3 linked regions of the Rhinolophus ferrumequinum genome follow. The protein of the gene in region 1 interacts with the protein of each later gene in a biochemical or structural test. Links are inferred from orthologs where the notes say so. Each region holds a gene or a part of one and is shown on either strand. Other genes may lie near its edges.

What was found.
Region 2: the proteins of galectin-3-binding protein (region 1) and LGALS3 form a complex in vitro, tested with the Homo sapiens proteins (4 studies listed by BioGRID). The link is inferred for Rhinolophus ferrumequinum from reciprocal best matches to the Homo sapiens genes LGALS3BP and LGALS3.
Region 3: the proteins of galectin-3-binding protein (region 1) and LGALS1 form a complex in vitro, tested with the Homo sapiens proteins (2 studies listed by BioGRID). The link is inferred for Rhinolophus ferrumequinum from reciprocal best matches to the Homo sapiens genes LGALS3BP and LGALS1.

The regions. Positions count from the first base shown.
Region 1 is NC_046304.1:52,739,864-52,750,697, reverse strand, and holds the start of galectin-3-binding protein, read left to right. Parts: upstream 1-6,681; 5' UTR 6,682-6,797; intron 6,798-7,505; exon of another isoform or gene 7,506-7,629; intron 7,630-10,834.
Region 2 is NC_046289.1:38,187,417-38,197,411, forward strand, and holds the start of LGALS3 (galectin-3), read right to left. Parts: upstream 4,067-9,995; 5' UTR 3,931-4,066; intron 1-3,930. UniProt on the Homo sapiens protein: Galactose-specific lectin which binds IgE. May mediate with the alpha-3, beta-1 integrin the stimulation by CSPG4 of endothelial cells migration.
Region 3 is NC_046293.1:9,224,603-9,234,579, forward strand, and holds LGALS1 (galectin-1), read right to left. Parts: upstream 3,966-9,977; 5' UTR 3,845-3,965; coding exon 3,836-3,844; exon of another isoform or gene 3,786-3,835; intron 2,693-3,785; exon of another isoform or gene 2,607-2,692; coding exon 2,527-2,606; intron 1,387-2,526; coding exon 1,215-1,386; intron 917-1,214; coding exon 770-916; 3' UTR 717-769; downstream 1-716. UniProt on the Homo sapiens protein: Lectin that binds beta-galactoside and a wide array of complex carbohydrates. Plays a role in regulating apoptosis, cell proliferation and cell differentiation. Inhibits CD45 protein phosphatase activity and therefore the dephosphorylation of Lyn kinase.

The sequences.
Region 1 (10,834 bases):
CAAACTCCAGCCAGATGTGAGCTGCCGGGAGCCTCCAAGACTCCCAGCGCATTTTATCCAAACAGCGGCCGCGGAGGATTAACTGTATGCGTGCCCGGCGGGTGGGCGGGAAAGGCCAGTGCTGCCCTCCTCCCGGCCACCCTGGGAAGCCAGCCCAGGCTGGGACTGCGGTGGCCACTCCAAGGGTCTGGAAGTCCGCCCAGATGTGAGGGCAGCCGGGAGCCCAGGACAAGGGGGTTTGGGAACCCCAAGTTGCTTGGTGGCAGGGGGATGGGGTTCCCAGGAGCTTGGGGTACCTGTAGCCAACTGCCAGGGATCGAATCCCCAGACGGTGGCACACCTTCAGTCAGGGCCTCCACTTGGGTCCGAGGACCTTGGACAGGTTTGGGAAAATCTGTGAACCCCTAAAACAGAATGCAGAATTACGTGTGTGCGTTTTTGGGCAGTGATGGTGTGTCACTTTGATCAGGTTCTTAGCTTTGTGACCCAAAGGTTGGGAACCCCCAGCCGGGAGCAGCAGATTTTCCAGAGGACAGGAAGAGCCAGGGGCGGGGCCAGGAGGGACTTCGGCATTTCTCAGTCTCATTCCTTGATATGAATATCGAACATTTTCTCCATCTTACACAAAAGTTCTTTCTAAACAAGTCCCTTGGTCCCACCTCACAGCCCGATAGCTACCCCAGGTTTCCCAAAAGCAGGTCTCCATCCCCAAACTCTGAGTCAGACCAGCTTGTTCTGGAATCTTATCCCATCAGGAGAAGAGGAAAGATCTAGCCAGACAAGCAAAACTCTACTATGATAATAACATTTTCTTTCTTTTGTGCTTCTTTCTGGACCCTTGTTCCCACATCTTCTCCAATCTACTTGGATGCCACACCTGCCCTCCTTGTTCGCTCATCCCTCCTCCCAGGGCCCCTATCCCTGGCTTCACTTGGACAGAGGATGTAGAGACTGGAATGCTGGTTTGGGGTGCTTGGGGCAAAGCAAAGAGCCTGTGCCTCACTCTCCCTTGCCATGGAATTTCCTTCCCGCCTCTGCTCCTCACGTGTGTCTGCCTAGAAGGCTAAGGAATCAAAAGGGAGAAAGGCGTGTGCCCGCCTGACAGCCACCAGGCACACCAGCCTGCCAGGGCAAGCTGAGGACATGGAGTTGGAAGAAGAGGGAGGTTCTGAGCAGTGGAGCCCATGAGTGCCCAGTGACCTCTCGACAGAGACCCAGCCTCTGACCCTCCACTGTGGGAGCAAAGGAAAAAAAATGCTCCTGGCCCTGAGTGGCCCCAGAGGAATTCACGGACACTCTGGCAAGATTCAGAAACCCCATTGGAGATGCTGTTTCAACTGGTGTTAGAAGACTTGGGAGTTGCATGTGTCTGAGGCTTGGCCAAACTTACATCCATGGTTGATTATCGACACAGGAAAACCCCGAGATAAGCTCGTCGGCTTCGTTCCTGTACGTAACTCGAAGGACTTTCCCGTCAACAAGACCCAGGCCCGGCACAGGACTGACCTTCCCCTAGCATTCCGTCCTCAAATAGCCTTTGCAGCGGGGAGGCCAGAGCACACCACAGCAAGAGAAGCAGAAGAGGCTCCATCTCCATGCGGCCCCTGCGGGACCTTCGTCCAGGATGTGCGAGGCTCCGCGTGTTTCTCGGGTCCGCGTGTTTCTTGGAACTGTAGTGAATCGGGAACCCCATGGATGCAATGGGAAAGCTCCCCATTGCCCTACCCAGGGACTCAGGCCTGGGGAGCGCTGGACCCACAGAGGACCTCTGCACACGAAGCTGGGCACGCGGCTTGAAAGAGAAACAGACGCAAAGATGGACGATTTGTCCCCTCCCTTCACCCCTTCCAAGACAGTTTTGGTGTTGAAGAAGTAAAGGACAGTTACCTCATAGATAATTCAAAGCCACGAATTGGGCGGGGAGGAGGCCAGGATGGAGCAGAGCTCTAGAAGTCCAGTGGCGGGACCCCGTAAGTCCTCAGCTTGGGAGCGCTGCCCCAGCTCGGTGGGCCTTACCGTTTCCTTATCTGTAAAGCAGAGACAGGTCCACGGGTCTCTGCCGTGGAACCCGTGAGGCCAGATGTGCTCAGAGTAAGATGCAAATAAAACAGAGCATCCACCCCAGCGGTTGGGGGGCAGCACCCCTTCATTGGATACTTGCAGGTTCGGCCGTGGGGTAAACGAAGGCCGTTCAGAGCCTCGCAGTTTGCGTCACCTTGTTCTGTCAAATTCGTTGGTGCCCAATTTAGGGGAAAACGAAGTTGTCAGAGGATTATGAAACTAATTTCTCACACAGTTGATGAAGGGTTGACGGAGCAGGTACAAAGTGCTGGAATGTTCATCACAACTGTCATCATTGTAAGTATAGTCTTCTTCCCTCCCTTCTCCTGGGTTGAGCCCCCACGTCTCCCGAGAGATTAGAAAAGGGATTACTCATTTTCCTGGAGGCAGGGGGTGGTATTAAACGTGGCAACAAGAGCTGGGCTTTCCCAAGATGCTGGTGTGAAACAGAAGGCTCAGAGGCGTGGGGAGCTCAGAAGCACAGGAACTGAGGTCCGAGCACATTTTGGGCCGTAGCGTCACGGCCCACAGCTCAAGCCAACAAGGCCAGGCTCCCAAAGAATGCAAGTCAGCCTTCAATAAAGGAAATAAAATACCAAAACACAGCTGGCCATGGCCCTGATGCCCTTTGTCATCAACGTCATTTTCTGCTTTAAAATTTTGAGGAGGAAAGATGGGAAATTTGTCAAGCTAGGGGCGGTCTTACAGACGGCCTGGTTCTCCTCCAGGGTCGGCGGTAGCGCCCCCAAGCAACCAGGACAGAACCTTCTCAGTTCAGCAAGTATCTTCCTGTTGGACAGAGTCCTGACTGGAGCTGGGACAGGAGTCATGGCAAAAAAAAAAAAAAAAACCCAACAGCATTAACACATCAGAACCCAAAGCCAATAGCAGTGCCTGGGGGAGATTTCATCAGCCTTGTGACGGGTCAGAGGCCAGGGCCAACCAGCATGAGGAGGCCCCCACCCCCCAAGGACTCTGTCTTGGGCTTCCAGATGGCCACGCCCATCCTGGAATTCCCTGGGAGCTCATACCTACACAAAGGATGTCTGGGCCAAGGCCAAGATTCAAAGGCTTCCTGAATATTCCCAAGTGGCTCGTCTGCTCAGACAAGGGCAGCTCATGGGATGTAAAGCCCAGAGACCCATGCGAGAACATTCTCTGGGATAGAGGCCCAGAAGGCAGGACACTCTGTGTCCTCCCAAGTTGGCCAATTCCTTGCTTTCCCTGGGCATATCATTGCTACTCACCATGTCTGTTTTCTCATCGTTGCAGAAAACTATGTGACCTTGGTTGAAGTCTGTAAGACCCTTGGTTCCAGATCAGCACAGCCTGTCATTAGCAGCACTGTGATTTTTCCCACTGCGGCCCTAACATTCTGCCTCTCCCAGCTATTTTGGGCCGGGCTGCCCAGTTGTCCCACAACGGCAGAGGCCGATTGCAGACTTTTGAATTCCTATCTGAAGGGTAACCACAGGCAGGCTCAGATGGCAGGGTCTCACTGCCAAGGGGTGGGGGTGGGAGAGTCTCCGTGGAGATTCGGGGAAGGAGCTGAGATGGAAACTTGGCAGCCAGATCCAGCCTCCCTGGCCGCTGGCCCACGCTCGTTGCTCCTAGATGGCAGTGCCCGTGGTCGAGAAGACTCAGGGCAGGTGGGAATCAGGACTGGCAGCTACAAGGACAGAGCAGGCGGGTCTGCTGCCTCATGCTCCTCACACCTGCAGGAGACCCCTCTAAGGAGGACAAACCTTTCATGGAAGTCCCCTCTGCACTCTTGATGCAAAGACGGGCAGTCAGGGATTTAAAAAAAAAATACACGTGCAGTCTCACTTTGACCATTTCTGTGCTTTCTGACTCTAATGATGCCATGTCATGCCCCATGCCTCAGTTTCTCCATCTCTCATTTCCATCCCTATTTTGAGAATTCCTTTTGGGAACTTTCAGAGATTGGCATAGACAGACCGTAAGGCAATGTTTTAATAAAATGGGAGGGCCCCCTGGTGGACTGCATAATTCTAAGCACTCGACTTTGAAATGAATGAGTGAGTCCATTGAGTAACTCAACACATGAATGAATGACTAAAGTGAAGAATTTTTCGTTGTTCATGCACAGCCCAGAAACCAAAGGAGGAGAGAATTTCCTGCAGAAGGCCATGGTGAAGTCTCCAGTGATGCGAAGAAGACAAAGGGAATGAAAACTGAAGGAAAACCTAGTTGTAGATGTCCGTGGAGTCACTGACCATAAGGAGTGCAATTTCACGGCACAACCTCTGCGGAAGTCTGTCTACTCACTAGAGGATGCAAACACCCTTTGATATAGTAATATTTCTTCTGGGGATAATATTTATTCTGGGGATCCTACATATATCTTCATAGTTGTGCCCAAATAAGTAACATCGCTGTAATGTGAAAAGATCACAGATATCCCGAAAGAACATCACCGGGGCCTGGTAAAGTAGATGACATCCCATCCACACGGTGGAATGCCACACACCGCTCTGTGGAGAATGAAGCAGCTCTCTGTAAAATGCTATGGGACAAGCTATTCTGTGAAGTGAAAAATTACAAACCTTACTGAAAAACTTTTTTAAAAAGACCTACGTAAACGGAAAGGCAACCACGTTCTTGGGGAGAAGACTCAATATCATAAACATCTCAGTTCTCTCCCAATCAATCTACAGATTCGAAGCAATTCTATTTAACATCCTAAAAGGTAGGGGCATGTGGGCTGCTGTGGGGGTGGGGAGGGCAATAGTCCTGCACCCTATGAAGGCTTAGTATAAAGAGGTGATAATGAGGACAGTGGTATTGAGCTGATATGAAATATTATACCCATACAGTAACAGAAATTCCCAAACAGAGCCACATGTCCCTGGAGACTTGAGCTATGGCAAAACTGGCACTGCACATACATCAATGGGGAAAGGATGGATTCTTTTCTAAAAACAGCACTGAGATGTTGGGGCATGTGCAGCAGAAGAAAGATAGATATATAGATATATAGATATCAAAAAAATCTGAGAAAGATACACAACTTCTCAGTAATCAGGCAAGGAGAAGACATTTCATGCTATCAGATTGGTAAAATGAATGAATACACCTGATAGTACTTGTGGGCCAATGGGATTGCTCACCCATTGCAACAGGTCTATTTCATTTTTGTAAAATACATGCATATATATATATATATATATATATATATATATATAGTTTAGGGATACAAACCTATTTGCTAAAATTACAAAATAAAGCACAAGAATGATTACCACAACATTCAAGATTGTGTTTATCTCTTGGGGTGGGAGGAAGTTGGCAACAGGAAGGAGTACCTAGAGAGCTCTCTAGATAACAAGATTAGTGTTTTATTTTTAAGTTGGGAGCCATACCTGAAAGTAGATATCTTAGTAAAAAAAAGATGTGAATAATTTAAAATAATTATACCGTGTTTCCCCGAAAATAAGACCTAACCGGAAAATAAGCCCTAGCATGATTTTTCAGGATGACATCCCCTGAACATACGCCCTAATGCGTGTTTTGGAGCAAAAAGTAATATAAGAACCAGTCTCATTTTCGGGGAAACACTGTAGTATATGGTATATGGTTGGGATACAGTTTAATATGATGGAAAATATAAATGAATTCAGCAAAGGTTTTTTTTCTCCCCTCCCCCTCAAAAACGCAGAGCCTTATGTTTAGCACATTTCCATTAGGTTTAAAAGTAATTTAACATATGTGCTATGATTCGTTTGTGTGTCACAAAATATCTGTAAGAATGACCACAAGAAACTAGTACTAATGGTTACCTCTGGGGAGGGAACGCAGAGGGGGTATGGAGGGAGGGTTATCTTTCACTGCGCACCATTTATATAATTTGAAATTTCTCTTGTGCGTCTGTTGATGGAAGGCTGTTGAGAGACCAGGGATGTGTGCATGCAGAGACCGAAGGTGCAGACCGGGAGCACTGACGCACCCCCTCGCCATGCTCCTGTGTGACGCTCCACTACTATAGGGCTTTTTTTTTTCTTTTTTTCTTCCAGGATTTCTAAAATGAGCATCATTACAGGACTTAGGGGTGAGGGGCCGGGATGCCTTTTAACATAGTCCATTCAAATAGCTCAGGGGGCTGGAGAAACGGGATGAATTAGAGACCCATGTTTGGAAAGGGGTTCGTTGATTGCAAGTTAGGGGGGCCCAAGCCCAGGCCGCTCCTGCCTGTACACCTGTGTACTGACCTTTGCTTTGGAAACTGAGCTACATTCAGACGTAGGCGGTTAGAAGAGCCAAGGGAAGGGCTCTGAGAATGAGGGTGGCAGAAATGGTTCCGTGCCTCTACGCCCCGGGAGGACCACGAAGGTCCGGGGGACCAGGCAAGGGGTCTCACAATCTCAGCTCGAGGAATGATACCCCCCCTCCCCGTAGCCTTCACCTCCGCCCCCCTCCCCTTTCTGCTCGGCCGACGTTCCAGAATAACGCGGTGGAAGGGGCCTGCGGGTGGGGAGCGCGGACAGCCCTCCTCCCTCCGGTCCTTCCCCCGGCCCAGCTCGCTGAGCATCCAAAACTACAACTTCCAGTAGCTCCCTGCACGCGGCCGGCGCGCAGCCGCAGAGCAGAGGCTGCCGGGAGCGTGTTGCCCGGAGGCGGGACGAGCGCGCCGGGCGGAAGTCGGCCGCCCGCTCGGTCCCGGCCCTTCCCGCAGCGAGGCCCCGGCTTCCGCGGGACCCCGAAGCAGCCCGCCCCGGGTGAGTGAAGGCCGCGCCCGCAGCCGCCCGCGCTCCCCCTCGCGCCGGCCTCCCCAGCGCCTGCCGCCGCCCTCCGACCCCGCACGCTCCCTCCCTGTCTGACCTATTGGGGCCCCTTGACCCACAGGTCAGCGGTCCCCTCGGACGGGGGTGCCTCGGAGAAACTGTCCCCTCCTACCGACGGGGGGCGACACCTACCCCTCTGACTCGGAGACTCCTCCCCCGTCTGACTGGCGGAGTCTGACGGCGCGGACTAGCGCCCGCGCCGTGTTCGGTGCCGCCACTCGGACCTGGGCAGGGCCTCTCCTGATGGGCTCGGGAGCCCGCCCGCCCTGCCTGGCACCGGGTCACCCCTGCAGCGCGCCAGCCTTCCCCACCCCAAGCCAGGCCTTGCTCTCCCTGCCCCCAGCGCAGCTCCCTTTCCTCCCTTTTGCACTCAAACGGGCCACGCTCCCCTTTCCCTCTGCGCGCCTTGCGCTCCCCCATCTGGTCTGGATCCTTTTATCCCTGGGGATCACCGCCTCCTTGCCACCCTCGGTGCGTTTCCCGTGCCCTCTGTGTGCCTAGGTTTGGCAGGCGTTAACACCTGCCGGCAGTCTTCCGTGCGCCAGACCCCGCTTTCTCCCAAGCACCTGTGTCCCTCAGGAAACCCGTGTCTCTCAGCAGCACATCGGCCCCATGTCTCATTCCTGCTTCGGGGTATGTGCTTGACGGCTTTTCCTACCACGTTTCGGACAAAGCGCAAGTTTGGGAACACACATCTGCTGGTGTCACCTGAATCTTGCCGGCACTTGGGTGTAAGGGCCAAAACTTGACAAAAGCACAGTCGCAGGTAGGTCCATGGAAAGGAGGCAGGTGCTCAGCCTCCCGTTCCTCCCCCTTGAGGAGCTCGTTGAGTTAGGTCTTCCTGGGCTGGGCTGCAGAGCGTTGTCCAGCCCCCAGCCCCAGCCCACGGGCCTCAGCCGCAAACAATGCAGCCTGAGCCTGTGGGCTCAGTGGGGCCTCTTCCAGAGCCAGGGTGGCCTCCTGGTGGCCCTCCCTGCCGGCCTCAGTGACCTTCTGTTCAGCCCCGAGTGCCCTGCTGAGAGGCACGTTAACAGCCCAGCCTGCTCCCCTCTGGAAGTGCAGGGGTGTCCAGTCCTGTGCAGCCCAGATTTGGTCAGGCACTGTCACAAGGCCACCACCAGTGGGCTGGGACACAGGATTCTGGGTCTTACTCTTTCGTGTCCAAATGAACCTGATCACAAAGGTGATGCTGCCTCGCCCGGTGGTGGAGGAAATCACATATTTCCAAGGGTGTGGGTACCAGTGTGTCACCATGTGATCCCTCAGCTGTAAAAATCTGATCCTTTGATACCTTCCATTAGCTAAACGTCTCCTTTGTTCCCCCAAATGTAGTTCACGCCATATTTTCATAGCCCACAGCAACGTAGTGAAGGCGTTGGTTTAGGCTGCTGGTGCTTGAGGAAATTTCTACCCGCCAGTCCAACTGCACCTAATCTGCATGTCTTCCAAGCCCCAGAGGAGTGAGGAGACACCAGGGTGCCGGGTGGGGGGCAGGTCTCGCTCGGGGTGTGTTCATCCCCACCCCCTGAAGGGGGCCTTTGAGGTGAGCGCTTGTGGGCTCCCACAAATACACATGGCCCCTTTCATCTGAGTCTCAGGACTTTCTTGGCAGCACTGTGGCAGTCGTCATGGCAACTGTATAGGGTAGGTGTATAAATGCTCTAGTGTTTTCTCTTTCAAAAACAGAATATCTCCGATCGGGGAATATGGTTCAGAGTCCTGAACTGGATCGGTATTATGACAAGGAAGACGTTTCCCTGTTGTACAGACATTTGTGGCGTGGTACCCAGGATACTGAAAAAAAAAAATTATTTTCCTTTCAGTGACACTCTGGACTATGGAGATTTCTGGAAAGTTCTTATTAATTGCCAACGTTAAGGGAATTTAAAATTTTTTCTATTAATTGTTTAGCACTTTTATGTTGATTTTCCTTTTCATCAGACCAAGACAAAGTCCTGATATTAGCAAAACCTGTTTGGGAAAATGTTCGTTTTTCTGTTTTTGTCTGCATTTCTTTTGAATCCCACTCATTTATCTGTAGTAGCGCTGCCATTAAATGGAAGTCACAGTTCCGGTTCCCAAGCAGAGTGCCCTGCCATCCCTGCCCAGCCAGGGACCATGCCGTGGGAAGTGAGGCGGGGCCATGTGCACGTGGGGCCTGACCAGGTACAGTGAGGGCGCATGACAGTGTGGGCGTGAGCGTGAGGTTGGAGCCGTCTAGAATGGCTCGCTGGCCACTGTGCCTGGTAGCCCCGCGCTGAGGCACGCGGGAGAGCAGGTGGGTTCAGGCAGGTGCGTCCACTGTCTGTGGGAGCAGCCCTGACTTGGGCCGATCGTGGGATTATCACATCCCCTTGTTCCGGGCTCTCCAAAAAACAAGCCGAAGATGCGTAGTTTTGTTTGGGATGAGGGCACTTTCAACTGGGAGGGCAGCTGTTTTCCAAAAGTCCTAGATGACGGCACAAACTATGCACGCACAGCGGCTGTGGTGTAAGGATGAAGTGCAGACTCAGGCTGTGCCCCCCGCCCCGAGGCAGAGCTGTGTGAATGGTCCCGGCCCCCGGGAAAAGCTGTAGGTTCTTCCCGGCCCCTGTGGCCGGCAGAGTAATGCCCATCCGCACCCGCAGAGGTCCACGCCCTGACCCCCGGGACCTGCGAATGTGTTATGTGGCAAAGGGGGGCTAAGGGAGCACGTGGAATTCCAGGTACTTATCATCTGACCTTAAAAATGGGGGCTCGTCCTGGATTGGCCAGGTGGGCCCAGTGTGACCACAGGGCCCTACCAGTGGAAGGGGGGCCGGAGAGTGTCAGAGGGGATGATGGCGGAAAGGCCCAGGGAGATGCAACAGTGCTGGCTTTGAAGGTGGAGGAAGGGGCCACAAGTCGGGCTGAGGGCAGCCGCTAGCAACTGGAAACGGCCAGGAGACGGGTCCTCCCCTCGAGCCTCTGAAAGGACCAGCCCTTTATTTTGGCCCAGTGTGACCCATGTCGGACTTCCGTCCTGCATCTGTAAAGTAAGTGTGTGGTGTTCAAGCTGTGCAGCCTGCACTGCTGTTACAGCAGCAGGAGACAACTGACACACTCCGCTTGGGCGGCTGACTTACAAACAGAAACAAAGGACAGAAAAAGAAGTCACCCGAACTGTATTTAACTTGACTCGGTGAGCAGTCGTGATTGCCTGTCACGGAAGGGGCTGAGTAAGGGACAGGCGGGCGAAGGGAGGATCCAGAGAGCTGGGTTTAGACGCTGTCAGCGCTGGTGCTGGAGGCCCTTGGTGTCTGTCTTGCCTGTAAGGAGTCTGAAGGTCAGCGCGTGTCACTCTACTTTCCAACCAGAAAGTGCACTTTGCCGGTGGGCAGACTAGGGACTCCTGCCTGCAGTCTGATGGCTCTTTAGGACCGTTCAGAGACCGTGGTGGAGAAGGAGAGGCAGCCACTCTGCAGACCCCAGGGCCTGGGGAGGACAGTGGCTGCCCCGTCCCTGAGGCAGGGAGCTGGGAGCGGGCCACCTTATCTCCGAGCTGAACTGTGCTTCCGGCCCTCCCTGGATCCTGAAAGGTCAGAGTTTTGCTCAGGTAGCTGCCTTAAACCTGTTTGTTCTGCCACCTGTCCGGGCCACTCCTACAGGAAACCGGGGAAGCGACCCTCTTGGCTGTGAGCTGAATGTAAGCCTTGTGTCGGGTGCGGAGGCCAGCCTGGGGGTGAAGGTGAAGGTGGGGGTGTCTGAGCCTGCCCTGATTCTTGGCTGCAGTGGAGGGGCTGCTCACTCTACTCCCTGGGTGTGTACCAAGACAGCGTGCTGCCCCCCTGGAATCGGGGGGTGCCCTGGGGAGCTACAGACACAGCCCTTACACTGACGCTAGTTCAGGCCTGTTGCACAGGAAGCCGGAAATGCATGAGTGTCAGTGAGCCGTTCTTGAGACCTGCCTGAAAGGGGGTGGGGGGCTGGGGCTGGAGCCTTGGGGGTGGTTG
Region 2 (9,995 bases), on another chromosome or scaffold:
TTCCTGTTGTAGTTGAGCCTTGATTGCTATTGGCACATCAGTGGGTTTGAATAACCCTCAGGCTGACTGGCTGTGGGGTTTGATCAAGTCCACAGCTTACAGGCTGCTGTGAGGGAGGCTTACCCCAATGAGTGGGATTTGTTCCAGTGGGCTTTGTTGCTTGTTTGAGACCACCCTTCGGGTATGCCACTTGTGGGGCTAATTAGGCAGTACTCTGCTGTGGCCTGAAGCCAACCTCCAAGTATGTTGGTTCTGGGGCCTCTTGCGAGGAGCTTCAGTGCAGGCCCAGGTCACCCACTACCTGTGACGGGCCGGGGATTACCTGGTAGGAACTACAAAGTGATCTGTGGTTATTTACTGCCTTTCCCACCCCTGGAGGTGCGTGGGAGAGGCTATGCTGTGAATTGAGGACAGCTGCCACCAGTACCAGGCCTGGGGTAGTTCTGCAAAAAGTCAGAACACCTTGAGGCCTGCTGACACCTGTTGGCTCCCTTATGGTTCAGCCTGATAAAGCCTTGTGCAATACATGAGTTGGGTGAAGCAGGGTTTCAGGGAGTCAGTATAGTGAGAAAAGTTGTTGTTAATAGGTTAATGTAGACTCTGGTTTGGTGCCAGTGCTGAGCCTGGAGCTATGCAGCAAAAGTCTCAGAGCACACCAAGGCCAGCTGCTGCCTGCCTGGGTCCTGTGAACTCCCATAGTTTTCAAGAAAGAGTGCAATGCAGGTGGGATTGGCTGCTCTAAGAGAAAGTGCCTCTAGTGTTGGATGAGTTGGGTGGAGTGGTGTCTTAGGGATTCAGCAGGGTGGAGCAGTGGAACTCACCAGGCCAATCAGATTCAGATTTGGCCATGGTGGGGGCGGGCTCAACACAGGAAAGATAGCACCCAGCTGCATGGAAGGACCTCCTTACAGGGAAAATGGCAACCGTCCTCCAACCCTCACTCCGAATCACACACCTCAGTCTGCCCCGCACCCCATCCTCTGATATCCCCTGAGTTACTGCCCCTCCGCTGGAGCCCAAGGTGAGTGCCTGTGAGTGAGAGTTTGTGCACAGGCCGCTTAAGAGGACATCTGGTTTCCCTGGAGCCTTTCGTCCCGGTCAGATGGTTGAAATCCCCACTGTTTTTCACAGCCAGATGTTATGGGGGCTCCTCTTCCCAGCATCAGTGCTCTGGGCTGGGGAGGCTGGTGTGGGGCCGGGGTCTCTTGCTCCTCTGGGGAAACTTCCCTGGCTGAGATATCCCTCCTGGTTCTCAACAACCACACAGAGGTTTGGGTCCTGCCCGTTTCATGTCTCCACCCCTCTTACCAGTCTCGATGTGGCTTCTTCTTTATATCCTTAATTATAAAACTTCTATTCAGCCAGACTTCAGATGATTCTCCAGGTTGATTGTTCTATAATTTAGTTGTAATGTAACTAATGTAACAGGCACAGTGTTTTTCTACTCCACTATCTAGGCTCTCTCCTCTGTTTTCTTTCTCTCTCTTCTCTTCTTCCTTTTTTTTTTTTTTTTGTACATGAGTAGTTTATATAAATGAGTAGTTTATATAGTTCAACAAATGTGAAAAAAAACCTCTCCACTCTGCAGGTACTATAGATATGTGAACTCCATCCTGGCATTTCCAGAATCAGAGAATTTTGGAGAGCCAGAAAAGAAACACTACATCAAAGACAAACAAAAAATAGAGGAAGTACAACCTGGGTCTTCACTTTTGGAAAAACCTACAGGAGGTAGTTCAGTTTGCTTTGGAATAAGGACTTTAAACATGAGTCAGAAGGTTGACCATGTTAGTCATCCATTAATTGTAGCTTTTCCCTTTAATAAAGAGCAGTTATCTATTCTATTATTTTATTCAAGGCCCATCTAGCAATTAATCCAGTTGCCCGGGTTCCTCGGAGCACTTGTGAAACTTCTGCTCACAAAGGGCCCCGACCTTTACACAAGCCATAAGGGAAATAGATCACGAATGTATTTCCTCAGAACCCCAGGGCTCTGCCCACACTCCTCTCCAAAGAACACAGGCAAGACAGTCTATTTCCTGCCCTGTTTAAAAGCAGAGCAGGACTTGGATAAAGGGCACTTTCCAAAGCCAAATTCAGCGATGCTGAGTTGGAATAAAGGACACTGGTCCTTTACTAGGATTTCTTTCTCATCATAGTTCCTCAGCATCAAGGAAGGTAAAGTTACTTTGTGCCTCTCAGTTACTGATATTTCCCCCTGTGGAAAAACTGAATATCAGTCAAGAGAGAACACATGATACTTAGTCAGCAGAAAATTGCAAGTATACAGCAAGCACTACCCTGGCAGGCTTACCACTCAGAATTTAATGAGAAGAACCTGTTCAGGCACCAAATATTACCTAGTTGTCCTCAGCAGGAGCCTGTGTCCCAAACCATCACAAGAAAAACAGCCTATGTTTTAGATCAGTTACCACGAGTCTCACATACATTCAAGGATCATCATCAAAGTTCTCCCCAGAATATGGAATAATGCTGATTCTAAGTGGAAACCCCCACCATTATGAATTTAGGAAGCAGCTCCAATCTCCCAAAGACCAAAGATGAGGCACAGCCATCAAAGGACTGAGAAACTAGAGATTTAAAGTCAATGTCTGAAAAGAAGACCACTGTGGAAAAATTAATTTTATTATTAAATTTTAGCTTTCATGAAAAAACAATTTCCTAGTATGAAAGATAAACGTTATATACTTGAGACAAATGAGTCAGAATTTTGGAAGTTGGTGAAAATTTTTTCTCATGCTCTGTGCCCAAGTGGTTAATTTTTATTGCTATCATTTTCGTCAGAATTAACTGAGCCTGATTCCTTTCCCAGAATCCTAGAAACAGACTAGGTCACTGAGGTCCACCCGTCCTCATTGTCCAGCAACCCAACTCCCAGGAGTCACTTTACAAATATTCCACAGTATCTGGAACAGGAATCACTAACTTTAAGGGTCTGGCCTGAAACCTAAGTCACAGCCTCAACCTATGTGTTCCTGACTGACTGGCCCTGAGCTCATACCCCTGAGTGGATGTATTTCAGTGTTTGTATTTGCACAACTGACAATTGAGAATAAATCCTCGAACATGTTTTTAACACACACACCAACTAGGGCTCTGCACACTCTAGCCAACATCCTGCCACACCCTACACATCCTCAGCACAGATTTGAGATCATTAATGCCCAAATTAGCCAATCTGATCCAGGAGGAGTCGCTGATTTGGAAAAGCGTAGGGTTTGCAGTCTTTGCCAAGCTGGGCACATGCCCACTCAGGCCTTGGGGCAGCACCGTTTTTTGTGGGATCAGCACGCAGAGAGGAGCGGCAGTCACGGACGCTGCTGGGCGTGGTAGACGACACATTGGCTCGGCACAGCAAGATCAGGTGGCCGGCCAGCCAAGTCAGTGGTCCCAGCAGCCGCCCGAGAGAGTCCCTGAGCAGTACGCCCTGTGTGCTGTTTTAGGGGACCTGGTTCCTGTATCAAGCTTGGGCGCGCCCCTCACCACCCGCCAGCAGTTGGCCTCCGCTGATTCCGAGGTAGCCCAGCGGCGGGAGGGCAGGACGCATGGCTCAGCCTCCTAGACGCCGCAGAGCGTGCCCTGTGCCCACGCCCGGTGTCTGCACACACACCCGTCCGCCCGGAGGAGGTGTGTGTGAGTCTGTGAGACGTTGCTAACTTTCCCCGAATCCCCTCTTCCGGAGCGTCAAAGGCTGCGGACCCGCGCTCAGACGGCGCCCACCGCTCCGCTCGGGGCTCTCCAGCTGTTGGTGCCCACCGCCCCGCGCCCGGAAAGCCACGCCGCCCCCAGGCTCCCGCCGCAGCCCTCCAAAGGGGGCTGCGCACCAAGGACTGCCAGGATGCCCTCGCCCCTGCCCGCCCCGAGCCGCCGACAGGCCGGGTCCCCGTCCCCGGTACCTGCGCCACTCACCCGAATCCTGGGCACTCGCTTGCTTGCTCTGGGTGCGGTTCCTGGTGAGGTCTTGCTGTCCCCGACAGGGCGGCGGCTCCGAGCCTCAAATACACCCAGCCTGGCCCGCCTCTGCCGGGGCGGGGCCGCCACCCCTGCCCACCCGGCCTCTCCCTGCGGAACAAGCTGGGTGAGCCCCGAGCCCCGCTGGGCACAAAACACAACCTTGGGACCCAGGAGACAGCGGGCGGGACCCTGAAGGGTGATCCCCACCCCTGCCGCCTCCCATTGGACCCCTCCTCGACCTGGAGGGTGGCCACTTTCACAGGCCTCTCTCCAAATTTCACCTGACTCCTCAGACGAAGATAGGGAGAGTCTGTGAAGCTTGGGGTGTGTGCTTCTTTAGGGAGTTTTGCTTGCTTGCTTGTTTTAACGGTGTTTACTTATTTTCTTACTGAATTGCAGGCGCTCTCGTCCCTTCTGCATTTACTTTACCCAAACCCTCTCTCAGCATCAAAGCCTTCTCAAGAAGCTCACAGTGACTTGGGGCGCTGGGAGGGCCCTGACCTGTTTTCTGAGATGCTGGGTGAAATGCTCCCAAGTTCTTGGCCTTTCTGAACTGTGATGTGGGCACACACGTCTCAGACTGAGACCTAAATTGTTTTGCTGTTTGCTCCCTCCTGCTTCCTCATCCATCATCTGTGCAGTGTTTGTGTGCAGTAGGTTCTCAGTGAATATTTGCTTCATGAGTGAATGAACGAACAAAATAATGAGTCACTTCCTAGAAAGTCTAACTATCTGTTTTCACCAAGATTGGGGAGAGCCCTGATGAAGGAGGGAACAGTGAAACACAAAAGTACATTTGGTAAGGGCCGGACTAGGATAAAGCTACTCTTGAGGAAAGGTTGTTACAACAAATACCAACGCTTACAAGAGAGACTGTATTTAGTATCTGGTATCATTTATCTGGATAAGAGCTGAGCGAAATGATTAAGGATGAGCAAGGTGGATTCTTTAAGAAGTTCAGATGTCCACTCATGAAAGTGAACCTGACATGGATTAAAGACTTCTATGTAAAACCTGAAAACAAAATTCCTAGAAGAAAACAGAAGGGAAAATCTCCTTGACATTGGTCTTGGCAATGATTTTTTTTTGGATATGACAACAAAGCACAAGCAACAAAAATAAACAAGTGGGACTACATCAAGCTAAAAAGCTGCACAGCAAAAGAAACAATCAACAGACTGAAAAGGCAATCTACAGAATGGGAAAGACTATTTGCAAACCATATATCTGTAATAGGTTAATCTCCAAAAACTACAAGGAACTCATACAACTCCATAGCAAAAAATAATCCAATTAAAAAAATGAGCAAAGGACCTGAATAGACATTTTTCTAAAGAAGACATGTAAATTGCCAACAGGTACAAGGAAATGTGCTCAACATCACTAATCTTCAGGGAAAGTTAAATCAAAACCACAATGAGATATCACCTCTTACCCAGTAGAATGGCTATCATCAACAAGACAAGACATAACTGTTGATAAAGATGTGGAGAAAGGGAACCCTTGTGCACTGTTGGTGAGAATGTAAATTGGTGCAGTCACTATGGAAAACAGGATGGAGGTTCCTCAAAAAGTTAAAAATAGAACTATTTTATGATCCAGCAATCCTACTTCAGGGTATGATATCCAAAGGAAATGAAATGACTATCGTGAAGAGATATCTGAACCATGTTTATTGCAGCATTTTTCACAATAGCCAAGACATGGAAACAACCTTAGTGTCTGTTGGTGGATAAATGGATAAAGAAAATGTCTCTCACGCACACACATACGTACACACACACTGGAATATAGAGTAGATTTTAAATATTCTCATAACACAAAAAAAGTAACTATGCAAGATGATGGATGTGTTCACTAACTTTATTGTGGTAATCATTATATATGTATATCAAAAAAATAGTTAGTTGTTAATAACAGCTAATATTCATCGAACACTGGTTATGTGTCTTGTACTATACCTAGTGCTTTACATACATATAGTATGTGGGTAGGTATTTTTATCCCCATTTTAAAGATGAGAAAACTGAGGCACAGATAATTAAATATAACCAAGAGCACAACATAGATCAAGTTAAGAGCATGTCAGGGTCTGAGAAATCAGTGTTTGAAAATGGGGATAAAAATCCCTATTGATAAAAATACCTACCAGATTGAGGCAAAGGACAAAACTGGAAGGAAGGAAAGAAGGAAGGAAGGGAGAGAGGGAGGGAGGGAGGAAAGAAGGGGAGGGAAGGCGAGGGGAGGGGGGAGAAAGAAAGAGAAGGAAGGAAGGATATGCCACCTACAATAGGCCACCACATTTTTATTGGTAGATTTAGAAGTTGGAAAGTGCCATTCAGAAATGGAAAGAATAATTGACCACGAAGTGAAATTTTCTCTGAAAAAACAGAGCAGTCACTCTTCCCATTCCAAAGTTTCAGTGCTGAGGAACAGTTTCCTGTCTCACACTGGGATTCTGTGTCTGGCTGATAACCTATATGAGAAAGCCTCTGTGTCTGCTTGATCTATGTCTGGGAGCTTTTAGATTTTTGGCTAGTGGAGGAAGGGATTCAGTGCTAGAGAATGGAGTAAGGACAAAGGACTAAGGAGAGGATATCAGAACCAATCTCAGCCCAGCCTCTTTTGCTGGGTTGGAGCCCCAGGGAAAGAAGAATAGGGCTGTCTTTGTGAAAGCTTTGAGAGAAGGTGCATGGAGGCCCAAGTAACAAACTACAGTCCTCAGATGTGAGGCAGCCATTCTTCCCCCTTCTGCACCCACCCCTGGCAATGCTGGCTCTTCGCAGATTTCCAGAGCAGACTGCTGGGACAGACATTAATGTTCTCACCAGGCGGATTCACTGGCAGTGTCACCAGGAGTTTCCTCAAGTAGGTAATGACAATTTCCCAAGGGGCAGGGCAGCTGCTGCAGCTGACGCAGGCTGGCCTTTGTTAGCATGAGAGGGGTCTGCTTAAACCACAGGGTTGGGGGCACATAGAGCAGGGGAGGGGCTAGGAAAGGAACCCTGCTCATGCAAGAACAGAACTACGGGGAGCCTAGAAATAACCTCAGTGGGATGAGGAGGCCTGGCTTGAACTAGGCAACGGGTAGTTGTGATGTAACTTGGTGATACAGTTACACGTGTTCTGTGTTTTGGACAATGACTTCACTCAGTAAACCAAAATGGAAAATTGGAAAGGTGGTATTGTGTTATAATCTCACTGATCCAATGTGATTGAAGGGTGGGAATTAATGAAAAACCAAATTACATTTTACCAGAAAAAGATGTGTATTTAGATATATAGATCTATAGCTATCTCTCCACCTACCTATAAATAGCTAAAAAATAAAATACATTAATGTGATCATGGGCTGGAATGTTCCTGTAAACTTAGAAATTATGTAAGGTGACCCAAGGAGCCTTGTCATGTTGGCGACTTGGGATCCTGTGATGTCAGAGAACAATGGATGCGTGACATCAGGTTGGTGCAAAAGTAATTGCGGTTTTAGCAGTTGTTTTTAACCTTTTAAACCGCAATTACTTTTGCACCAACCTAAAACATAAAGATGTATTGTTACTAAGGATATCGAAGGAAGCAAACATTTAAATTTGGAGTTTAACTCAAACATTTCCTCCTATTTTCCACCCCTTGCTCACCCCACCCTGGCCAAAAGGGCCCCCAGCTCTTCCTCCTGCACACAAGACTCACTCCCCACTTAGCATCCTTGCACAGGCTGCTCCCTGTATCTGGAACTCTCTTCTCCCATTATCTACTGACTAAACTTTCCCACCTTCTTCAAGTCTTTGCTCAAATGCCACCTTCTTCCAGAGTCTACTATTTTACCACCCTGTTTAAAATCACAGCTCGAACCTCCCCCAGTTCTTCATTCTGCTAATCCCCCTTTACCCTGCTTTACTTTTTTCCCCATAGTATATGCAATTTCCAGCATGCCATTGACTCTACACATTTCTTATGTCTGCTGTATGTTGTTGGTTCCCCCTGCTTCTCTTTCACTTCCCTCCCTGTCTGCAGAGTTTTTACTGTGTTATTCACTGATGGACCCAGTGGTACATACCGTAGTAGGCACTCAATATTTACTAAGTGAATAAATTCATAGTGTGGGAACTGGAGAAACTCCTGTGGCTGTTCGATTTTATCACTTTCAATGCCCTTCCCTCTAGTTAACTATTTAATTCCCCTTAAAAATGATTTAAAAAAATTTAAGAGTGAAGAATTTGATTAATAGGTTACTATGTTTGTACAATACAAAAAAAGTTTTTAAATATCTGTTCCCCAGGAAACTCACTGAAGATTGATCATTTCTTTTGGATAAATAGACCTAGTCTCAAAGCAACTTAACTATGAAGAAATTATAAGCCACCTCTTTAATACTTTTGCACAGGAAATTAAAATTATGTATACTGTCCTTTAAACTTCATCATATCTTTTTCTTGGAAGAAATAGATAAGTATTCTCCTCTCATTTTTACTGTCAGGGAAAATGATTTACTTATCCAAGCTCATTCATGTCTAGGAACAGAATCCAGAAGTCCTGACTTTTATAACTCATCTAGAAAAACACTGAGCATCCTTGCAGGGACCAATTTATGTAAACTAGGGAGAAAACCAGGTATAATGTGTTTCCTAAATAATTCCTGTACTCCCTAAAATAGCAAAGTAATTAATAAGCTGTGGAAAGATAAATGATTTCACCCGTTTTCCACCATCAGAGGGAAATGTGCACATGAGGGAATTCTCACTTGACGGAATTGAAAAGGTGTCTTGGCATCCCCTGGGATAAATTTGAAAGTGCCTTAGTGGCTGGTACTGTTCTTGCGTCACTGTTCCCTCTAAGCTTGCACATAGAAGTCACTGTGTGCTGAGGATGAATCACTGTGTAGCTGGAAACTAATTGTGAAAGCATAACTTCTTCTCTAAAGAGGGAACCTGGCAACCAATTTACTTGAACAGATCATCCATAGTATATGACTAACCTTTGGGTGTTGAAAAGGAGTTACCCACAGGAACGGCCTTTGTCTCTTGAGAAAATGCTGTAAATCTTAAGACTTTGAGTCATGAGGCCACGCAAACAGGTGTGGTACCAATGTCCTTAGCGGATTAGCTTCTGGTAGTAAGAAAAAGGGATAACCAATAGGTTGTTATGAAGATAAGGGGTGAGTCACCCTGTTGCCTATCTTGCTGGTTAATCTTTGGTGATTTCAAGGGTAGTTAAAGCTCACGTTCTTGCTACTTATTGGGCTCACTTACATCTGATCCGTATGATCAGACATCCTTTTGTCTTCACTTTTTTATTTGCACATTCTCGTGTGCCCTTTAGTGCCAACTTCATGCCCCTTAATGCTAACAAAAGATTTTGCTGTGATTAGGATGTACATGGGAATTTAAATTTGTACGCATGCAGCAAATGGCTCATGAGTACCCAACTCAAAGCCTGCATAAATGCTTCCAAGATAAATGTAAAAAGCAATCTAACAAAATTGATAAAAATATCACTGAATGACTTCTATGTATGGATCACTGTGCTATTTAAAATAAGGGACAAGCTCACTATTAGACTTCAAACAATAGGTTGGCTGATTTCTACTAATACAGAGATTTGGGGACCTTGACAAAAATCCAGGACCCTAGGACAGGCCTGTCTCCAGGATAGGAAGGAAGAACTTCCAAGAAGCTGGTGGCATTCCAGAAGGTCCAGAGGGCATCTGGATGAGGGGAACTTGAGTTAGAGAGAGCCAGGAAAGACTAGGAGATGAAGATGAGAGCAAAGAGAGGGCCTCAGAGGGTGAGTAAAAGAGAGAGAAAAAATTAGTTGGAGGAGAGAGCAGAGCTCATTTTTAATAGGAAAACAGAATTGGAAAGGAAGACTAGAGAGAGAATAGAACTATGGGAAATATAAAAGTGTGAGTGGGAGCAGCCGGATGGCTGCCGTTGGGTGGAGCCCAAGCTCTTAACAACAAGGTTGCCAGGGAACTGCGCCCTCCACAACTAGATTGAAGACAACAACTTGACTTGGAGCTG
Region 3 (9,977 bases), on another chromosome or scaffold:
TTTGCCAGGCTCCCAACTCAAGCTTCAGCTGGACCTGATACAGATAGACCAGGGAGTCATATTGTCACTCAGAGCCTGTTTCCTCCCCTTCAAGCAGGGGTACACTAACATCTCAAGAGGTAGTACAGCAGAGATGGGAAACCACTACTCACTGAGCCTTTACCATGTGCCACACACTAAATTTGACCTTTTTCACATATCTCACTTAACCCTCACAACAGGCTATGTGCTACTAGTCCCTTCATATAAATGAATAACCAAGGCTCAGAGAGGTCCGTTAATACATACAAGGCCACACAGCTGGTAGCCCTGCACCATCATCTGAACTAGCTTTTTCTACTTCGTGAAAACAAATGAGAGGGGCCCCAGATACCATGACATGATTCAGTCTGTCCTTGCCTCTTTTCCCCTGGTTTCATTTATGCACCATCTTTTGGGCACCTACTGTATGCTGGGGTCCACTGGATTGGGAGCTGTTTGAGGACAGCAACTGGGTCTTATTTAGTAGTCACTAAGCCCCCTCTGTGTACTGAGCTCTCTGCTTGGCCTAGAGGACCCAGGGGACCCTGGGGAAGATGTCACCGGCACTTAGGTGTGCATCAAGAAAGTGCACAGAAGTGAAGGAAGGGGCAGAACCTGGGGGAGTTGGTGGAACCCACCCACTTACTTACATACACACACACGCGCACACACACACACACCACACATGAGGCTGGTTCAACGGGAACAGAGGCAGCTGCCTTTATTGGGGGCCACGGGTGGGCTGGTTTCACTCAAAGGCCACACACTTGATCTTGAAGTCACCCTCTGCTGCCAGGTAGTTGATGGCCTCCAGATTGAGGCGGTTGGGGAACTTGAATGTGTATCCATCTGGCAGCTTGATGCTCAGGTCTGCCTGGTCGAAGGAGATGCACACCTGGGAGGAGGGGGGGTGCGAAGGGCAGTGAGCAGCGTGGACCCCCAAGCAGAAGCCTCAGTGCGGCCAATGCCATGGCCTACAGGCCAGGGGCCCTCCCAGAGCCTTTCGTCCTGTAGCCCTGACTGACAACAGTCCCCCTTCATGGGTGAAGCCACTGAGGCTGGGAGAGGGAGATAACACAGCAGATGAAGGGGGGAGGGGAGAAAGGGCAGGGTGGGACCTAGATTACTAGCCACTAAACCCAGCTCTGCCCCAGCCCACCCAGTGCCCTGCTCCAGTCCCATCCCCAGCCCACCTCCGTGACACTTCCAGGCTGGAAGGGAAAGGCAGGCTCCCGCAGTTCCGTCCCCCAGACCCCGTCATCCTTGCTGTTACACACAATTGTGTTCGTATCCCCATGTATATCGAAGCGAGGGTTGAAGTGCAGGCACACGTTGTTGCTGTCTTTGCCCAGGTTCAGCACGAAGCTAGTGGGTAACAGGTGGGATTGAGGCCAGCTGCAGCGCCCTCGGACTAACCAGTCTGTGCTACTCAGTACACCATCAGTGCATCTAGCTGGGAGAACTCATTGAGCCAGGAGAAAAGAAACCTGCATTCTAGCTCTGGCCCTACCACCTCCTTGCTGTGTGACCTTGAGCAAGTACCTGCCCCTCTCTGGGCCTCAGCTTCCTCATCTGCACAGTGGGAACTGTACAAGAAGGATCTTTATGGGTCATGCTGTGCTGATAGCCAAGACTCTTGTAGATGTTAGTTTGTGTCCCAGCCCCTTTGGTCAAAGTCGGAGACTCCCTCCAGATGGTGACCTCTGGGAGGACAAGTGTCCCATCTGTGTTGTGTATCTCTGTACCACTGGTGCCCAGCATGATGAATGACACACAGTAGGTACTCAATAACTGTGGGGAGAATGAACATTTGATAGACCGAACATTTGCTGAGTGGAGGTAATAGCAATCCTTGTCCCTGAGGGTTTGGTAAGAATGAAAGAATAGTGCATGGGAGGTGTGCAGCCTTTTGATAATGTCAGCTGATCATCTCGTGGGCTCTGAGAGACCCAGCATCTCACTTCCTCCATACAACCACTGTCCCCCTTGTTTTGGTTTACTGATTAATAAACTGAGGTTCAATGTGGTTGGTTGACTAGTTCAAGGTCACACGGCTGCTGAGAAAATTGACCAGCTAGCTGAATGAATGAGTGAATGAGTGAAGGAAGGACTGAAGGAATGAAAGGTTGAGCATGCAGGAAAGAGGGACCTCAGAGGGAGAGCTGCGGGGGTGATACCCTTCTCATTCCCTCTCTCTGCCCTGCCCCCACCACGGCCTCAGGTCCCGCCAAGGTCTATGATGAGGCCGCAGCTGGTTTAGTTTAAGAGGCTCCAGCAGGGAGGGGAGGGGGCGACAATGGTTGGGGCATCCAGATCCCGCGGAGGAAGTGACTCACCCAGAAAACGCAGCCTCTGAGGCCGCCTGAATTAACCCCTTCCCCCCTCCGCCGGAGGGTGGGGAGGAGCGGGGCCTGGCCGGCCACGCCCCTACCCGACTCGGGACGCGACCCTTGGGCTCAGAACCCCAGCCCCTACCGCCCACCACCCGCGTCTTCGCTCCCTCACCTTTTGGCGTCGGGGGCCACCTCGCCCCGCACTCTGAGGCACTCCCCAGGTTTGAGATTCAGGTTGCTGGCGACCAGACCCTGCGCAGACAAGACCCCGCCCAGCTGGGTTAGCCAACGCGTCCCGGTGGATCCTCAGGCCAACTGGAAGCCTGGGGAACCCGGGTGTAAGTTCTAGCCTTTCTTTCTGTGTGGTCCCGGGCAAATCCCTACTCCAGCCGGTTACAGTCAGTTTCCTGTCTGTAACAAGACTGGGGTTCTAGAAGCCAAAATCTAGAAGTTTTTGCGGTTCAGCTTGGAGATTTTGGATTCAGAGCGGCCTGGGAGGTGGGGAACTATGCTCCATTGCTCCATGTAATAGCTGGAGAGAACCTCATGTAATAGACGGTGCGTGAGGGATTTAGTGGCAAAGGAAGGTGAATGGAGGGGTCTACCCCTCTGCTGAAGAGGAAGGGGCCTAGGGCTGACAGATCCCCACTATCCCCTTCAAGTAGAGAGAGGCAGGGGCTGGAGAGGAAACCCCCAAGGAGCACAGCCAGGCGCCTCTACAGAAGGGCCTTGGCCGGAATCTGCAGCCTGGCTGGCTGGGGGTTAACACGATTGAGCTCACAGCTTAACTGGTTGTGAGTGATTCCTTGCGCCAGAAACTTGAACCCTTTCCCTGGGGGCCTGAGGAAGATTCTTGCCTTCTTCTTTCTCCCTTAGCACCACCCCCTCCCAGCTTGGCCGAGTGGGTGGTGGGGAATTCCCCCAACTCCCACCTGACCAGCCTGGACAGAACCACTCTCCAGCCGCTACCCCAGGCAGGCCCCTTCCTGGGCAGCCTGTCTCAGATCCTGGTGACATTTCAGAGCTCTCTAGTGCAAAGGGTGACTGCCCTGGCCTGGTGACTGGGGACAGCTGCTGCCCGGTGACTGGGGACAGCTGCGGGGGGGCATGAGGGGGAAAAGGAGGCTCTTTAGAGTAGGGGGGGCAGGGGCAATGCCCTGGGTTTCATCAAAGTGCTGCCGCCCAGTTGGCCACACCCTTCCTACTCCTACCTCGAGAGCTGCAGAATGTCAGACCATGGCAGGAATAACTGTACTACCAGACCCTGGAGGAATCTAGAAAATTCTTAAGCTGAAGAAGGCCTTGGGGGACCATGGTGCCCACCCCATCTTAGAGACATGGCCACTGAAGCCCAGAAAAGAGAAGGCACTTGCTCAAGGCCACACCGTGGGGACCAAAACCCCGATCTTCATCTGCCCTCACTCTCCCCAGCTGTCTGCCTTGACGCCATCCGGGACCTGGGGCGGGGTCTCCACACTCACACAAGCCATGGCTGAGGACAAGACGATGGTCCTGGGAACTGATGGTCCTGGGAACTGACGCACCAGCTGTCTGAAGACTCCACCCGAAAGATGGGGCCCTGGGCCGCTCCCATCCTTTTAAATGGACCAGACCACCGGTGAGTCCCGCCCCCAGAAAGATCAGCCAATTGTAAGCCAGGACAAGGATAGGGGCCACTGGAGGTGGAGTCAATGGAATTTTGAAGCCAGTTCTGGAGCAGAACTGACCAATCAGAATTGTGATCCCCCCCATTCCTTCTTAACCACTCCCCCAGAGTCCAGACTCCGCCTCCCATTCTGTTTCTTCCCTACCCTCCCCATACCAAAAATTGTGCTGTGGCAGGGATTGGGGGAAGCCAATGGAAAATAGTTTGAGAATGAGCTAGGCCCTGGAGTTGGAGGAAAAGGGCCAAGAGCCAGCAGACTGAGCTCAGGGGGTACCCAGAGAAGACCAATGAGGGAATGCATGGTACTTGAGAGAATTAGATCTGGGGTTCCTGAGGTTGCGCCCTGGAAGGGACCAGGGTGTGACTCCCTCTGTGGGCATCTGCAGAGGGCGCAGGACCCATCAACCACAAAGCCCTGGCCCCACCCGGGCCTCCCCCGGAAGCAGGGATTGTGGCTGCTGCCGCGTGTGCTCCTCGCTAGCGCTAAAGAAAGGCTGGGCAGGGTGCCAGGTCTGAGGCTGCCGCCAGGGTTTAGGGCTCAGGCCTGGGCCCTCCTGAGGGGCCTGCTGGGGAATCCCTTAAGAGCTCCTACTTGACAGCCTATGGCCTGTCTGAAGAGGATGAGGCCTGGGAGGGGGCCCAGGCTGAGCCAGGCCATGAGGGGTTAGGGTCCTGGCTCTGTGCATCCCCGTCCACTCTCCTCATATTCTCCCTCCGAGGTCAGGCACAGCCCTTCCTTTCTCCATCTCTTTAGCAGATACTTTACTGAGCACCTGCTGTGTGCCTGGCCCTGAGCTGGTCTGAGAGGATTCAAAGATGGAACTCACAGTTCCTGCTGTCAAGCAGCCCGCTGTTAGGGCAGAATCTGGCTATGAACTTAATGAAGAAATAGTACGATATTGGCTCTAAGGGAAGTCGTGAGCAAAGCATCATGGTGAAGGTGGGTCTTGAAGGATGGGTGAAGAAGGCGGGCTGGCATTCCAGCTTGGGCAGATCTGGGGAACAGCAAGCATATGAGCATGGATGGAGTTTCGGGTATGTTGGGGAAAGATGGGGCATGAGGCGGGGAGGCCAACAGTACCTGGATCAGGATGGGTTTCATTGAAGGGGCTTGGACATTGTTTCATCTGAGGGCGCTGGGGAGCCACAGAAAGTTATAGGGAGGGTGAGTATTGAGGCCAGATTTGGGCTCCAGGGACGATTACTGTAACAACAGGGTGTGTGTGTGTGTGTGTGTGTGTGTGTGTGTGGAGGTGTGCTCACCTCACACTCACGAGCCAGGTGGAGAGAGGGGCATGGGGAGCACTGGGCAAGGCAGGAGGCTTAACACATCACTGTCGCCCTTCTGAAATTGCCGGAACCAAAGAGGGAGGAGGATGTGAACCAGGAGTGACTCACATCTGGAGGCTAAGCCAGCAAACCTGCCCTGCCCTCCGATGCCTCCCAGTCCAGCTGCCACTGTCCACCCCTTACCCCCGCCCCCGGCACAGGCCACCTTCCTCCAGATGACTGAAGCCCACCCTGGCACCGGAGGCGTGGGGAGTGCATGGGACTGTGAGGCAGGCCTAGAGAGAAGGCTGGGCCCCACCCCCTATGAATCCCGTACCCCTCCTGCCAGACCAAGCCTGCAGCCTCAGAAACCAACCACAGCAGCTTCACTTTTTCCTCCAGGGCCTTCCTCAAACCTCAATCTACGGAGGAGTGGGTAGGGCCCCGCTCCGCTGCCTTTCCTCTGTGCTTCCCTTCCCAGGGCCACAGGCACCCTCTCTCTGCCTGATCAAGGAATTGTGCATTTCAGGAGGTGTTCTAAACCAAGGACAGAAGTACTTCAGGCACAGTCCTGCCTGGCTGCCATCAGGTGGGCCTGGCTGGCTGTTCCAGCCCAGTAGTTGGGCTCCCAGCACCCCAAGAGCTGCTCCTCTGTTTTCCCCGCTACACGGAAGACACGCCCAGCACCAGGGAGTGTTTGCTGCAGGGTGAGGGGTTGTTTACTCTTCTTCAGCATCTGGCCAGCTGAGGGATGGCAGAGAGCCGGTGTAACGTGGTGAACAGGCCCCCAGAAAGGCCCTTTTGGGAATCTGGAGATCTACCATGCCCTCCCCAAGGCATCCTGACAAGTCCCTTCTCCTTTCTTGCCTCAGTCTCCCCATCTGTAAGTTGGGGAGGTAAAACCCTGTTGTCCTGTACAAGGTTAGCAGGGGGTGGAGTTCTGGTGTGTTGTACTAAATAGATGATTTTTTTTTTTTTAATAGTCTTAGAAGGTTTTTGCATCTTTTCTCAGGCTGTTTACCTTCCTGGGGTCAATACCTCTGGGAGGTCCCTCCACCCCCACCTCATCTCCATCAGTCCCTCCTGCCTAGGCTGGGGCGGGGAGTCTCTCAGATTCCAGTATCCGTGATAAGAGGGATGGTGGTTTTCCTGGGGGAGGGACAGGGACAAGGTGCATTGTGTGGTGGCGCCCACTTATCTGCCAGGCCCTGTGCCCGGTGCCTCGCTTTCATACACTATCTCATTTCATCTTCACCTCACCTCTTCTTGTCTGCCAACTGGGCTGAACGGCACAGGGAAGCCGCTCTGGGCCCTGAAATGAAACTGATGTTAGAATCGGGAGAAGAGAGGCAAGTCCTGGTTTGGGGGCTGCCTGGCTGTGAATGCAGCCAAGTTTTTGAAGTCTTTGAACCTGTTGTCATGCCTGGAAAGTGGGAACGTTACCCAGTTTTTACCCATTTGCTGGCTGGTTGGAGGATTAGTGATGTGTGAAGGGCTCATTAGTTCTCTCTCCCGCACCCTCCCCCAAGGCCAAGGCCCCCTTGCCGGGGGCTCTCCTTCCCCCATCACTGTCCTTTAGCATAGGCAGTGGGCTCTCTGGAATTCCTCCATCGTACAGACCATCTTACAGGCTGGACCTTGGCTGCTGCATGAGAGATGAGCTCAGCTCGCCCCAAGGGGGATCCAGGCCAGGGAGGCCCTTCCCAGCCTACCCTGCCTTGCCGTTCCCCCGTGGTGAAGGCTGTGCCTCCTGCAGCTGGCAGTGGTCAGAGCCAGGAGTCCTAGAAGTCAGAGCAGGGAGAGACCCCCAAATACCACACCTGAACTGCTCCCTCATTTGATGATGTAGCAACCACCTAGGGAGGGTGGCCACTTGACCAAGGTCACGCAGGAAGCTAGGGCTGAAGCCCTTTCATCTGTTGAGCCAAGGAAAGAACACGAAGGACTTGAGATACCTGGACTTCAAATAATGACCTTTTTTGGATCCTGCTCCATGAAGGTAGGAAGGACTGGTGGCAGGGCAAGGGGAATCCTCCCCCACTCCCTCCCACTTTAGGCACTTTTCCAACTGGTTTGTGCAGGAGCCGCCCCCCACTGACCTTGCTCATCCATTCTTGTCTCCCTGCCTTTGTGCTATTCTCCCACCTAGACAGCCACCTCCCCAAACACTGTGGAGGTCTGTCACTTTTGTCTTCCCACCTGGTATCTGTCCTCTGATCACAGGCCCCAACTCGCCTTTGGGGAACTTCCCCTCTTCTCCTATGAGATCTGGCTGGGTTCTAGGCCCTGTCATTCCTTAGAGCCCCAGGGCTCAGGCAGGAGTCTTTTTCAGGTTTTTTTTTTTTTCAAACATTTTTTTTTGGTCATAATTATAGACTCACAGGAAGCAAAGGCCTTTTTAAGAGCTCAGAAAATATTTGAGAACTGAAGTAAAAAAAAGTATTGGCTCCAAAGTACTAAAAGTACAAAGCTGGAATTAATAAATGTGCTCAGACTTAAAAGGTGGTAGTCATAAAAATTGTATTACATTTGGAAACAATTTTGTAGGTTGAATTTTCTTCAAAAATGGGCCCAAGTCTTCCTAAAGGTTGGTTACTCCTAAATTAGATTCCCCATAGCCAAATAAAGTGTAAAACAAAAGTATAAAAATACTTCGAAAAATATATATAGCAAGAGAAACAAAAACCAAAACCCTCCACATATGAAATGGAGGGTCCTTATGACTTTGGTTAAATTCAGTTTTAAATCCTAGCTCTAGAAATCATATCCCTCTCTCCCTCTCTAAGCCCCTCAGAGACCCAGCCTTTCCCCTAGATAATCAGCAACCTCGAAGGTGGCAGAAGACAATAGTGGACCTGACTAATGGTGAAGGGTTGGGAGCTCTGGCTGACTAAAGATAACATCTTGACCTAAGTCAGGTTTCAGCTCGAGCCATAAGGTGGAATGACCCCCTGGCTACTTTCCCATGAGACAGAACAGAGGGACCCTAGAAGAAACCTCAGTAAGATCTTTAGAAATGATTCATTACCCTTACTTCACCTCCCACCATGATCCTGAACCCTTAACCCACGCGGTCTTGTAATTTTGCCCTATAGAATCTGTAACCTACATGCCATTGGAGAGCCAGATCTTTGAGTGCTAGCTCCCCTGTGTCTCCGGGTTTGGCACCATTTCCCTAAATGAACCTTTCCTTTCTTTGTGGAAAGTGCCTTTTCATGTCTCGTTTGGCCCTGATGCACGCAGGCCAATGAACCCCCTTTAGTTCGGTAACATACATTTAACGTGGGATGTGAGTGATTTTTAATGTTTTCTATGATGTGCCTGGGGGGCCTGCGTATCAAGAGTTTTTGGCTTCAAGTAACAGAAAAATTTAATGGACATTGCTTTAAAATGAAGGAAAATGTTCACATAACAAGCCTGGAGCTAGGAGGTTTCCATGGCAGGTTAATCCGGTGGCCCAATGAAATCATCAAAAATCTGGGTTATTGTATGATCATGAGTTATGACTGTGTAGACAGTTCTTGCTCTTTGGTGAGACAAGCTAAAGGTTTTGGGGTCAACTGTCGTAATGTCTGCAACGTACTTTTGAATGAATCAGTTAAAAGTGTAAATATATATAAAGAGCAATTGAACAAATTGGGCAAATAACAACGGGGAGCCTAGGAGAAGGGTCCATGGGTGTTCATTTGCACATGGGTTCTGCACTCACTCCAGGTAGTACCAGGATTGAATTCACTTGTGGGACACCCAGTTAGCATCTGCAGAAAGCTGGAGAATTGCTTGATGTAGAAAACCCACACATCTGGTGTCGAAGTATTCTGTGGGTAGAGGAGAAACAGTTTTCCCTTTTAGTTGGCGTCAGAGAAGTGGGATTTGCTAGAATCCCTGACTCACGGAAACATGTGGTTTGGGAAGGGGAAGGAAGAAAGGGCGGGCACAAGAAACCTCTGATGCCTGGGTGCCACGGATTCACCCCTGGTGTGCAGCAGCAGCTGTGCTGTACTGTTATTAAAGGTAAAAATTGGGCGACCGGTTGGCTCAGTGGTTAGAGCGCAGTGCTCATAACATCAAGGTCGCCAGTTCGATTTCCACATGGGCCAGTGAGCTACGCCCTCCACAACTAGATTGAAAACGACTTGACTTGGAGCTGAAGGGTCCTGGAAAAATACACTGTTCCCCAATATTCCCCAATTTAAAAAAAAAAGATAAAAGTTATCAACAGACTTTAGAGATGGCGCCAGTTCTCGGGGAGCTGGTTTACCTGATGTGTAAGGAAATGCAAAAAAAGAAATATATAGTCCCTTGGTTATGTTTATCTGTAACAGCTAAAATGAAATCAAGAGAGTGCTGGGTGAGACCTTGACACTATACCAAGCTCAGATTTCAGTGAGTCTGAACTTCGGCCACTAGTCTCAAAGCTATCCCTAAAGGGAAAAGTTATTCAGGGACAACAGAAAGTATCTCTAAGGCCTCTGGTCAACAAGAAAGTAGTGAACATGGAGGGAAGGCAAAGCCAGGAAACTACTGAAACCAGGGGATATAGCGTGAAGGAGTTGTTTCATTTTGTGGATTGGGGTTATCAGTCTCCTGAAATATCAACAACTGGGAATCCAGGTGAAGGATGTTCATTGAGCCATTCTCGCACATTTTCTGTTTGAAACTTCTAAATTAAAAGTTTGGGGGAAACA